3 linked regions of the Saccharomyces cerevisiae S288C genome follow. The protein of the gene in region 3 purifies or fractionates together with the protein of the main gene of each other region. This does not show direct contact. Each region holds a gene or a part of one and is shown on either strand. Other genes may lie near its edges.

Evidence for each region. Proteins that work in one complex are often made in the same cells at the same time.
Region 1: the proteins of ENP1 (region 3) and MPP10 purify together in Saccharomyces cerevisiae (affinity purification with mass spectrometry; 7 studies listed by BioGRID, with this or other methods). This does not show direct contact.
Region 2: the proteins of ENP1 (region 3) and HAS1 purify together in Saccharomyces cerevisiae (affinity purification with mass spectrometry; 5 studies listed by BioGRID, with this or other methods). This does not show direct contact.

Annotation. Positions count from the first base shown.
Region 1 is NC_001142.9:436,981-441,146, forward strand, and holds MPP10 (rRNA-processing protein MPP10), read left to right. Parts: upstream 1-1,884; coding exon 1,885-3,666; downstream 3,667-4,166. Other genes in the region: AVT1 (Avt1p), read left to right, coding at 1-1,630; MRX12 (Mrx12p), read right to left, coding at 4,014-4,166. UniProt on the Saccharomyces cerevisiae protein: Involved in nucleolar processing of pre-18S ribosomal RNA. Required for the early cleavages at sites A0, A1 and A2 during 18S ribosomal pre-RNA processing.
Region 2 is NC_001145.3:849,574-853,179, reverse strand, and holds HAS1 (ATP-dependent RNA helicase HAS1), read left to right. Parts: upstream 1-1,588; coding exon 1,589-3,106; downstream 3,107-3,606. Other genes in the region: protein kinase TDA1, read right to left, coding at 1-550; aminodeoxychorismate lyase ABZ2, read right to left, coding at 3,371-3,606. UniProt on the Saccharomyces cerevisiae protein: ATP-dependent RNA helicase involved in 40S ribosomal subunit biogenesis. Required for the processing and cleavage of 35S pre-rRNA at sites A0, A1, and A2, leading to mature 18S rRNA.
Region 3 is NC_001134.8:712,467-716,212, reverse strand, and holds ENP1 (snoRNA-binding rRNA-processing protein ENP1), read left to right. Parts: upstream 1-1,757; coding exon 1,758-3,209; downstream 3,210-3,746. Other genes in the region: HIS7 (imidazoleglycerol-phosphate synthase), read left to right, coding at 1-1,406; RRT2 (diphthamide synthase), read right to left, coding at 3,459-3,746. UniProt on the Saccharomyces cerevisiae protein: Required for normal export of the pre-40S particles from the nucleus to the cytoplasm.

The DNA.
Region 1 (4,166 bases), on a different chromosome or scaffold from region 3:
GGGAGTTAATTCTTTAAGTCGATTTGCGACTTCGTTGAGGAGAGCCAATTCGTTTCGTAATATCGAGCTAAATGCGGATAATGAAAGATCCTTTTTCAAAGAGAGTAACGATGAAACCTACGATCCGGATACTTTAGCACCAGCTTTGGACGGTAGAAGATTATCAGTAACTTTAAATAATGCTGGTCGCCCGCGCATTACTAATTTGGCTAACAACGATAGAGTTAGTACAGCCAGCATGGCTATTCACGATGATGATTATGGGTCCATCCAAAATTCAACAATTGGGGATTCTGGGTCAATATTACGCCCTACTGCCTCCTTAACAGAAATGATGAGTGGTGGAGCGGGGAGAAGGTTTACAAATAATGACATGGATTCAATTGTAGTGAAGAGAGTGGAGGGTGTAGATGGTAAGGTAGTAACTCTTCTTGCTGGTCAGTCGACCGCTCCACAGACCATATTCAACTCAATCAATGTACTGATTGGTATTGGGCTCCTGGCGTTACCTCTTGGTTTGAAATACGCCGGCTGGGTTATAGGACTTACTATGCTTGCAATCTTCGCCTTAGCGACATTTTGTACTGCTGAACTTTTGTCTAGGTGCCTAGATACAGATCCAACTTTGATATCTTACGCGGACTTGGGATATGCAGCATTTGGTACAAAAGGGCGCGCACTAATTTCTGCTCTTTTCACACTTGACCTACTGGGTAGTGGGGTGTCCTTGGTGATTCTCTTCGGAGATTCTTTAAATGCTCTATTTCCTCAATACTCCACCACTTTTTTCAAAATAGTTTCATTTTTTATCGTTACACCCCCGGTTTTTATACCATTGAGTGTTCTATCTAATATCTCGCTTCTGGGAATCCTTTCAACAACCGGAACTGTGCTAGTCATTTGCTGCTGCGGACTATACAAGTCGTCTTCTCCAGGTTCATTAGTTAATCCGATGGAAACGAGCATGTGGCCGATAGATCTAAAGCATCTCTGTTTATCTATAGGTTTATTGAGTGCCTGCTGGGGAGGACATGCGGTTTTTCCCAACTTAAAGACAGATATGAGGCATCCAGATAAATTTAAAGACTGTTTGAAAACTACCTATAAGATAACATCGGTTACGGACATAGGTACTGCAGTTATTGGCTTTTTGATGTTTGGAAATCTTGTTAAAGATGAAATTACTAAGAACGTTTTGCTGACGGAGGGATATCCAAAATTCGTTTATGGTCTGATTTCAGCGCTTATGACTATCATTCCTATCGCAAAGACCCCATTGAACGCAAGACCTATCGTTTCTGTATTGGACGTTCTGATGAATGTGCAACACATAGATGAAGCGGCCAGCGCCATAAAAAGAAGAGCTGCGAAAGGCCTTCAAGTATTCAATAGGATCTTTATTAATGTTGTCTTCGTTTTGATAGCTATTAATTTCCCTGAATTTGATAAGATTATCGCATTTCTGGGGGCCGGTTTGTGTTTTACAATTTGCCTAATTTTGCCGTGTTGGTTCTATTTAAGATTGTGCAAGACAACAATCAAACCATGGGAGAGAGTGGCTTGTCACGTAACCATATGTATTAGTGTCGTGTTGTCCACATTAGGTGTTGGTGCTGCAATTATTTCATAATCGACGAGGGGCATACTTACTCTACTTAAAATTCATTTACATTAGCTCTGTACTTCTGATAATGAAAAACCATTGCGTAATATACATATTTTCGTGTAGAATTATTTCCATAAAATATTCACCGCCTTTTCTGTACTGGCCGCCGGCATGCGAGGGAAGCAGAAAATTTTCAATTTTGCGATGAGCTCTTGAAGAAACAGTGTTTTGTTATGAATAAATGATGTGTGCACGAAAGACCCAAGGAAAGTCGTATAATGTCAGAACTCTTTGGAGTATTGAAATCTAATGCTGGCAGAATTATTTTGAAGGACCCCTCCGCCACTTCTAAAGATGTTAAAGCATATATAGATTCAGTTATCAATACCTGTAAGAATGGGAGTATTACAAAGAAAGCAGAACTGGACGAAATCACTGTTGATGGTTTAGACGCCAATCAAGTTTGGTGGCAGGTCAAACTAGTTCTTGATAGTATTGATGGTGATCTAATTCAAGGAATTCAAGAACTCAAAGATGTTGTCACGCCTTCTCACAATCTCTCTGATGGTAGCACCCTGAACTCATCATCCGGGGAAGAAAGTGAACTAGAGGAGGCAGAAAGTGTTTTTAAAGAAAAGCAGATGCTCTCTGCTGATGTTTCTGAGATTGAGGAGCAGAGTAATGATAGTCTTTCCGAGAACGATGAAGAACCTAGTATGGATGACGAAAAAACCAGTGCAGAGGCAGCTAGAGAAGAATTTGCGGAGGAAAAAAGAATTTCTTCTGGGCAAGATGAAAGGCATTCTTCACCCGATCCTTATGGTATCAATGATAAGTTTTTCGATCTCGAAAAGTTCAATAGGGATACTTTAGCTGCAGAAGATTCTAACGAAGCTTCTGAGGGGAGTGAGGATGAAGATATAGATTATTTTCAAGATATGCCTTCAGATGACGAGGAGGAGGAGGCTATTTATTATGAAGACTTTTTTGACAAACCCACAAAAGAACCTGTGAAGAAGCACTCTGACGTAAAAGATCCAAAAGAAGATGAAGAATTGGATGAAGAAGAGCATGATTCTGCCATGGATAAAGTGAAATTAGACTTATTTGCGGATGAGGAAGATGAACCGAATGCTGAGGGAGTGGGAGAAGCCAGTGACAAGAACTTATCTAGTTTCGAAAAGCAACAAATAGAGATTAGAAAACAGATAGAACAATTGGAAAACGAAGCGGTTGCCGAGAAGAAATGGTCTTTGAAGGGTGAAGTAAAGGCAAAGGATCGTCCCGAAGATGCATTGCTCACTGAGGAACTTGAATTCGACAGAACTGCAAAGCCTGTTCCTGTTATAACAAGTGAGGTCACAGAATCATTAGAAGATATGATTAGACGAAGGATACAGGACAGTAACTTTGACGACCTTCAAAGAAGAACCCTGTTAGACATCACACGTAAGTCTCAACGGCCTCAATTTGAATTGAGTGATGTTAAATCCTCGAAGTCGTTAGCAGAAATATATGAGGATGACTACACACGCGCTGAAGATGAATCTGCATTAAGTGAAGAGCTTCAAAAGGCACATTCCGAAATATCAGAACTTTATGCTAACTTGGTATATAAATTGGATGTGCTTTCATCAGTGCACTTCGTTCCTAAGCCAGCAAGTACTTCTTTGGAAATTAGAGTTGAAACACCCACTATATCGATGGAGGATGCTCAACCTCTCTATATGTCGAATGCCTCTTCTTTGGCTCCTCAAGAGATATACAATGTCGGTAAAGCAGAAAAGGACGGAGAAATTCGCTTGAAGAATGGTGTTGCAATGTCTAAGGAAGAATTAACCAGAGAAGATAAAAACAGATTGCGCAGGGCTTTGAAAAGAAAAAGATCGAAAGCTAATTTGCCAAATGTAAACAAAAGATCTAAAAGGAATGATGTTGTTGACACTTTGTCAAAAGCCAAGAATATTACTGTTATCAATCAAAAGGGTGAAAAGAAAGATGTTTCCGGTAAAACGAAGAAGAGCAGATCAGGGCCAGATAGCACAAATATAAAACTTTGAACACGCCGAAGAAGACTTAGTTTGTATTTAGGTAAAAAATTATTTCTTCATAACTCTGTTCACCCAGCATTTTTTATGGAATATCGACCTTGTAATGTCATTAACCCCTTAAAGGACCACTTAAAGAAAATGAAGTGCATCATGAAATATTCATGACGAGATGCGGAACATATACACTCATAAATACCAGAAGAATGTGCTGAATAATTTTTTGTTGGTAATTGGCTGTCATTTAAAGTATCGTTGAAACAAGAGGTATTGGAAGATAGCTAATTTTAGTATTATTTATGACGTTCTTTCCTGGATAAATGTAGATGTATATACGTAATAAAATGTTAATTAGTAAGTTATATGCTTTCCATATAATGTTCTATCTTAGTCTGCATAACTTGTTTGCTTGTTTTTGTTTCTAACGCTTCTCCATACTGGGCTAAGAGATTTTTTATTTTTTTTGCAGCAGTCGGCCCTGATATCAGCTTTTCTCCTAGTGCGCCATCAAA
Region 2 (3,606 bases), on a different chromosome or scaffold from region 3:
CTGCTTTCAAGTCTCTATGAACAATACCTTGAGAATGCAAAAACTCGAGAACGCTCACCAAACAGGCGCAGTACGAGGTAACTTGAGTTTCGAGGTCTAAACACTGATTTTCAACAATTTTTTCATACAAATCTCCCTTCTGACACAGCTGAGTGATCAGGACAATGTTATCTGCCGTCTCAAAATAGTCGAAAAGTTGTAAAATATGGTGATGCCCCTCAAAAATGTCCAAAGAATGTTCATTCTTTTTTTCCATATCTCTGATTTTCTCGCTTATTGACCTCAAAAGGTCGAACTCTCTTTGAATAAGTTGAATTTTGTTCTTGACAGTTTGTTTCTTAATAAGCTTCATCGCGTACAAATCCTTTGTGTGTATATTCATACATTCTTTCACGACGCTAAAATTCCCATCGCCCAAGGAGTTGTGGTTGGTTACGTATTTACATTTGAAGGTTTGAGCGTCTGCATTGCTGCCACTCAGTTGCGGCCAAGGTTTTTCTTCCGGCAGGCGCTGTTGTAGCTGGGAAGCAGAAGAACTAGCTGTAGTCATATCCTGGATGTGTATTTTTCTTTTTGAACTGTTGTAATGTCAATTGTATGAAAATATCGCGGTTTGGCTGAGACAGTCGTGGTAGGTAACTGAAGGAGCAAACAAGAAATTAATAAATAAACAAGTTAGCAAAACAAATAAAAAAACTGTCACTCTAAATAGAAAGAAGTAAAGAAGCAGAAGAAGTCATCCCCGTTCGACACGTTTTCATATTCTGAGTACATGATAAACCCCGCCCTCTTTTTCTTTTTTTAGGAATCCCCCTTTCTATTGTCAGAACAAGAAAGCGGTGTTGGAATTCAAGCAGCTTTTTTTTTTTCTTTTCGTCATACAGTTTCTTTTTCAGGAGTCTTGGTAGCACCCCACCCGTGGAATCGGCGGAATAACCTAACACGTGGAGGTTTTTCCGAGGTGCCAAAAAAGGAAAAACAAAGAGAAGCTGAAATCGGAATTTGAAGAATAGCGTGGGGGGGAGGGGGTTATTCAAGGAGCGCCTGTACCGGCAACGATAGCTTCGGCGGCTAAGATGGCAAACCTAATAGATGTATGTAAAAACATGGATGATAGCAGGCGGTGAACAGCCATGGTAATTTTAGGGAGTGCAAAAGTTATATGTAAGGCTATATCTGTATCAGTTAACAGGGGTGGAAAATGATTTGATAGGCGCAATATGTTTATTGGTAAAAGAGCATCTTAAACCACTTCATTCCATTTCTCACTATCACAAGTGATATATTATGTGTATTTTGCAATCCATGACGCTTTAATGCTTTACAAAGCGCTGCTACTTCTATTTTCTTAACGTAAAGAGGAGTGTATGACGACTAAGAATTGTTTACCCGGCGAGAGTCGATTCTTCGTTACCCGAATTGAAAATTTTTTATTTGCTTTTTCTTTTTTTTTTTTTTTTTTTTTTCAATATTAGCTTTAGCGATGAGATGAGATTTTATAGTGTATACACGGTACTTGAGTACATAGCTATTGGATAACTGTATACTATAATAATTAGATAAGCTGAGCAATATTAACAGGAGAAGTATGGCTACCCCGTCAAATAAACGTTCTAGAGATTCTGAATCTACAGAAGAACCTGTAGTAGATGAAAAGAGCACTTCAAAACAAAACAATGCCGCACCTGAGGGAGAACAAACTACTTGTGTGGAAAAGTTCGAAGAACTAAAGTTATCACAGCCAACTTTAAAGGCCATTGAAAAGATGGGATTTACCACTATGACTTCTGTTCAGGCAAGGACTATCCCACCTCTTTTGGCCGGTAGGGATGTTCTTGGTGCTGCCAAGACAGGTTCTGGTAAAACTCTAGCGTTTCTCATCCCTGCTATTGAACTATTGCATTCTTTGAAATTCAAACCAAGAAATGGTACCGGTATAATTGTCATTACGCCTACAAGAGAGTTGGCTTTACAGATTTTTGGAGTGGCAAGAGAGTTAATGGAATTCCATTCACAGACATTTGGTATTGTCATTGGTGGTGCAAATAGAAGACAGGAAGCCGAAAAATTGATGAAAGGTGTTAACATGTTGATTGCTACCCCTGGAAGATTATTGGATCACTTACAAAATACAAAAGGATTTGTATTCAAGAACTTGAAGGCTTTGATTATCGATGAAGCGGACAGAATCTTAGAAATTGGGTTTGAAGATGAAATGAGGCAGATAATTAAGATCTTGCCAAACGAAGATAGGCAATCCATGTTATTTTCAGCTACACAAACGACCAAAGTTGAGGATTTGGCTAGAATCTCGCTGAGACCGGGCCCTCTTTTCATTAATGTCGTTCCTGAAACCGACAACTCCACCGCAGATGGATTAGAACAAGGCTATGTGGTATGTGACAGTGATAAGAGATTTTTGTTGTTATTTTCTTTCTTGAAAAGAAATCAAAAAAAGAAAATTATTGTATTTTTATCATCTTGTAACTCTGTGAAATATTACGCTGAATTATTGAACTATATTGATTTGCCAGTCCTCGAATTACACGGTAAGCAAAAACAACAAAAGAGAACAAATACATTTTTCGAATTCTGTAATGCGGAAAGAGGTATCTTGATTTGTACAGATGTCGCAGCTAGAGGGCTAGATATCCCTGCTGTGGACTGGATCATTCAATTCGACCCTCCTGATGATCCAAGAGATTATATTCATAGAGTCGGAAGAACCGCAAGAGGCACTAAAGGTAAGGGTAAATCTTTAATGTTTTTAACACCTAATGAATTAGGGTTTTTAAGATATCTAAAGGCTTCCAAGGTCCCATTAAATGAGTACGAATTCCCGGAAAACAAAATTGCAAACGTTCAATCACAATTAGAAAAATTAATTAAATCCAACTATTATCTACATCAAACAGCCAAGGATGGTTATAGATCTTATTTACAAGCGTACGCTTCCCACTCTTTGAAAACTGTCTATCAAATCGATAAGCTGGATTTAGCCAAAGTAGCAAAGTCTTACGGTTTTCCAGTCCCTCCAAAGGTTAACATTACAATTGGTGCCAGTGGAAAAACGCCAAATACCAAAAGACGTAAAACTCATAAGTAATTTCAGAGGATCAATTTTTAATGCTATTAATGTGTACGTGGAACCAACACAACCGAAGTATTCATCTTCTGTTCTCATCGCACTCCTTTTCCTTTCTCTGCTTCTCCACTGTATGTCATTTAAATAAATGTATAAACCGCTGTTTTCTGTTTGTTGTCTTCTACGTACGTTGTCTGTATCAACCTGCACATATTTGAGTATGTAAAATCATGATTTGTAAACTATTGTAAAAAAACTTCATTGATATGAAAATCTGTCGTCTGCTCAATATTTTGTCTTCACTGTTCCCTTTATGCATCCCATGACGCCATTGAAAAGCAAAACTTCGTTGCCAACGGTAAGGCTTCCTATATCTATATCTCCCTCTTCAATAAGGCCGAGCCGCAATAAATAATGACGCATTGTTCCGCACAAACATCCAGTTGCTAATCTTGGTGTCACATACTTTTTAGAACCGTTAGGATCTTTTTGAATTACAGCCACGTTTGTTATTGAACCTT
Region 3 (3,746 bases):
GGCTACAAGCGCTCTTTGCCGGTTCCGTGGAAAGCCCTAAGAGTACGGGTCTGAACTACATTGATTTTAAGTTGTCCAGGTTCGATGATTCAGAAAAGCCAGTACCAGAAATAGGTTGGAATTCTTGCATTCCCTCGGAAAACCTATTCTTTGGATTGGATCCATACAAGAGGTACTATTTCGTCCATTCTTTTGCTGCCATTCTGAATTCAGAAAAGAAAAAAAACCTAGAAAATGACGGTTGGAAAATTGCAAAAGCTAAGTACGGTTCAGAGGAATTTATTGCGGCAGTCAACAAGAATAATATATTCGCTACTCAGTTCCATCCTGAAAAATCAGGTAAAGCTGGTTTGAACGTCATTGAGAATTTTTTGAAGCAACAAAGTCCTCCGATTCCAAACTATAGTGCGGAAGAGAAGGAACTCTTAATGAATGACTATTCAAATTATGGTCTAACACGCAGAATTATTGCTTGTCTTGATGTACGTACTAATGACCAAGGTGATTTGGTGGTTACTAAAGGTGATCAATACGATGTACGTGAAAAAAGTGATGGTAAAGGTGTTAGAAACCTTGGTAAGCCTGTTCAGTTGGCACAGAAATATTACCAACAGGGTGCGGATGAAGTAACATTTTTGAATATAACTTCTTTTAGAGATTGTCCTTTGAAGGATACTCCGATGCTAGAGGTTCTGAAACAAGCCGCAAAGACAGTCTTTGTTCCATTGACAGTCGGTGGGGGGATCAAGGATATTGTCGATGTTGATGGAACCAAAATACCTGCTTTAGAAGTTGCAAGTCTATACTTCAGATCTGGTGCTGATAAAGTATCGATCGGTACGGATGCAGTCTATGCAGCCGAAAAATACTACGAGTTGGGTAACAGAGGAGATGGAACGTCACCAATAGAGACAATCTCGAAAGCATACGGTGCTCAGGCAGTTGTTATTTCTGTCGACCCTAAGAGAGTATATGTAAATTCACAAGCAGATACGAAGAACAAAGTCTTCGAGACAGAATATCCGGGCCCCAATGGAGAGAAATACTGCTGGTACCAATGTACAATCAAAGGTGGAAGAGAATCTAGAGACCTTGGTGTGTGGGAATTAACAAGGGCATGTGAAGCTCTAGGTGCTGGGGAGATTTTATTGAACTGCATAGACAAGGATGGCTCTAATTCTGGTTATGATCTGGAATTGATAGAACATGTTAAAGATGCGGTCAAGATTCCCGTCATTGCATCCAGTGGCGCCGGTGTACCCGAACATTTCGAAGAGGCCTTCCTAAAGACCCGCGCAGATGCTTGCTTGGGTGCAGGTATGTTCCACAGAGGTGAATTCACTGTTAACGATGTAAAGGAGTATTTACTAGAGCACGGATTAAAGGTTAGAATGGATGAAGAGTAATGTGGTTGGATATGTATACTTTATAATCTTGACTCAGTCTATATACGCAATAATGATAGATGTTAAATCAGACATTTCACAACACAAGAGGATGTACAGCTTGGAGAAATTGTACCAACTTATATGGTTGTATTATTGGTGGTGTCAGTAGGGGAAGAAATAGAACATATTTTTCCACTTTTTCATTTTTTTTTTTTAGCGAGGCATCGGAAATGAAAATTTTTAAAAATCGATGAGCTCCCACTTCTTCAACATTGACGAAAGGAAATATGCACTAAGTTGTTTTAAATCCAAGATTTGTCTCGTTTTAAGACTTACAGATAAAACAATATATTAGAAAGATTAACTATAATGGCCAGAGCATCCTCTACTAAAGCCAGAAAACAGAGGCATGATCCACTTTTAAAGGATTTAGATGCAGCTCAAGGTACCTTGAAAAAAATCAATAAAAAGAAGCTAGCGCAGAACGATGCTGCAAATCACGATGCTGCAAATGAGGAAGATGGATACATAGACTCCAAAGCATCAAGAAAAATTTTGCAGTTGGCCAAGGAACAACAGGATGAAATTGAAGGTGAGGAACTTGCTGAATCAGAAAGAAACAAGCAATTTGAAGCCAGATTCACCACCATGAGCTATGATGATGAAGACGAAGACGAAGACGAAGACGAAGAAGCTTTTGGAGAAGACATCTCCGATTTTGAACCCGAAGGTGATTATAAAGAAGAGGAAGAGATAGTTGAAATCGATGAAGAAGACGCAGCGATGTTTGAGCAATATTTCAAGAAATCAGATGATTTTAACTCTTTAAGTGGTAGCTATAATCTTGCAGACAAGATTATGGCCTCTATCCGAGAAAAGGAAAGTCAAGTTGAAGATATGCAAGATGATGAACCACTTGCTAATGAACAGAATACCTCAAGAGGCAATATTTCATCCGGTTTGAAGAGTGGAGAGGGTGTTGCACTTCCAGAGAAGGTCATCAAAGCATATACTACGGTAGGTAGTATTTTAAAAACTTGGACGCACGGTAAGTTGCCAAAGTTGTTCAAGGTTATCCCATCCTTAAGAAATTGGCAAGATGTCATTTATGTGACCAACCCGGAAGAATGGTCACCACACGTTGTTTACGAAGCAACGAAATTATTTGTATCCAACCTAACTGCTAAAGAATCTCAAAAATTTATTAACCTAATTTTACTTGAACGTTTCCGTGACAATATCGAGACCAGTGAAGACCACTCTTTAAACTATCATATATACCGTGCGGTGAAAAAATCGCTTTATAAACCAAGTGCCTTCTTCAAAGGTTTCCTATTCCCATTGGTTGAAACAGGGTGTAATGTACGTGAAGCGACAATTGCAGGAAGTGTGCTTGCTAAAGTCTCTGTTCCGGCTTTACATTCTTCAGCTGCCTTGAGTTATCTTTTAAGGCTACCTTTCTCTCCACCTACAACTGTTTTTATCAAAATATTGCTCGATAAAAAATATGCTTTACCGTACCAGACGGTGGACGACTGCGTGTATTACTTTATGAGGTTTAGAATTTTGGATGACGGTAGTAATGGGGAAGATGCTACAAGAGTACTCCCAGTGATATGGCACAAGGCTTTCTTAACATTTGCACAACGTTACAAGAACGATATTACCCAGGATCAGAGAGATTTCTTGTTGGAAACTGTTCGTCAAAGAGGCCATAAAGATATCGGTCCTGAGATTAGAAGAGAACTATTGGCAGGAGCCAGCAGGGAGTTTGTTGATCCACAGGAAGCTAATGATGATTTAATGATTGATGTCAATTGATGCTGTAATATCAATTTTTCATCAATTTTATATCGCTCGGTCTTTCCCCCTTTCAACAAAGCTTCTGAATCATGTATAATAAGTAGAAAATATAGAGTAAAAGATTATTGTTCAGGCAAGTTCCTTCCTATCAATTCTTTATGCATAATCTATCGAAATCATCAAAATATGGCCTATATATTAGCCTATATATTAGCCTATATATTAGCCTATATATTAGTCCATATATTGCAGACTGAATTTTTTTTTCTAAACTATCCATGTTTGCAAGGAATTATCATAAAATGAGCATGTTGCGATCAAAGAATTTGACCAGTCGCCACCGTAACACATCGAATCATGGCCCTTCTTCAGATAATGTTGAATTTGAAAATACTCATCGGAATTATCATTCATGGTCACCACCTTGGCACCATTGTACATGCAACAAACTAAAAGCCGATCGGAGCCGTTGTGGTGAGATTGTTCCTGATCAATGGGGGATTCAACAAATCTCCAAACACCGCCACCAAGATCACACGCCAATTTATTAACTGT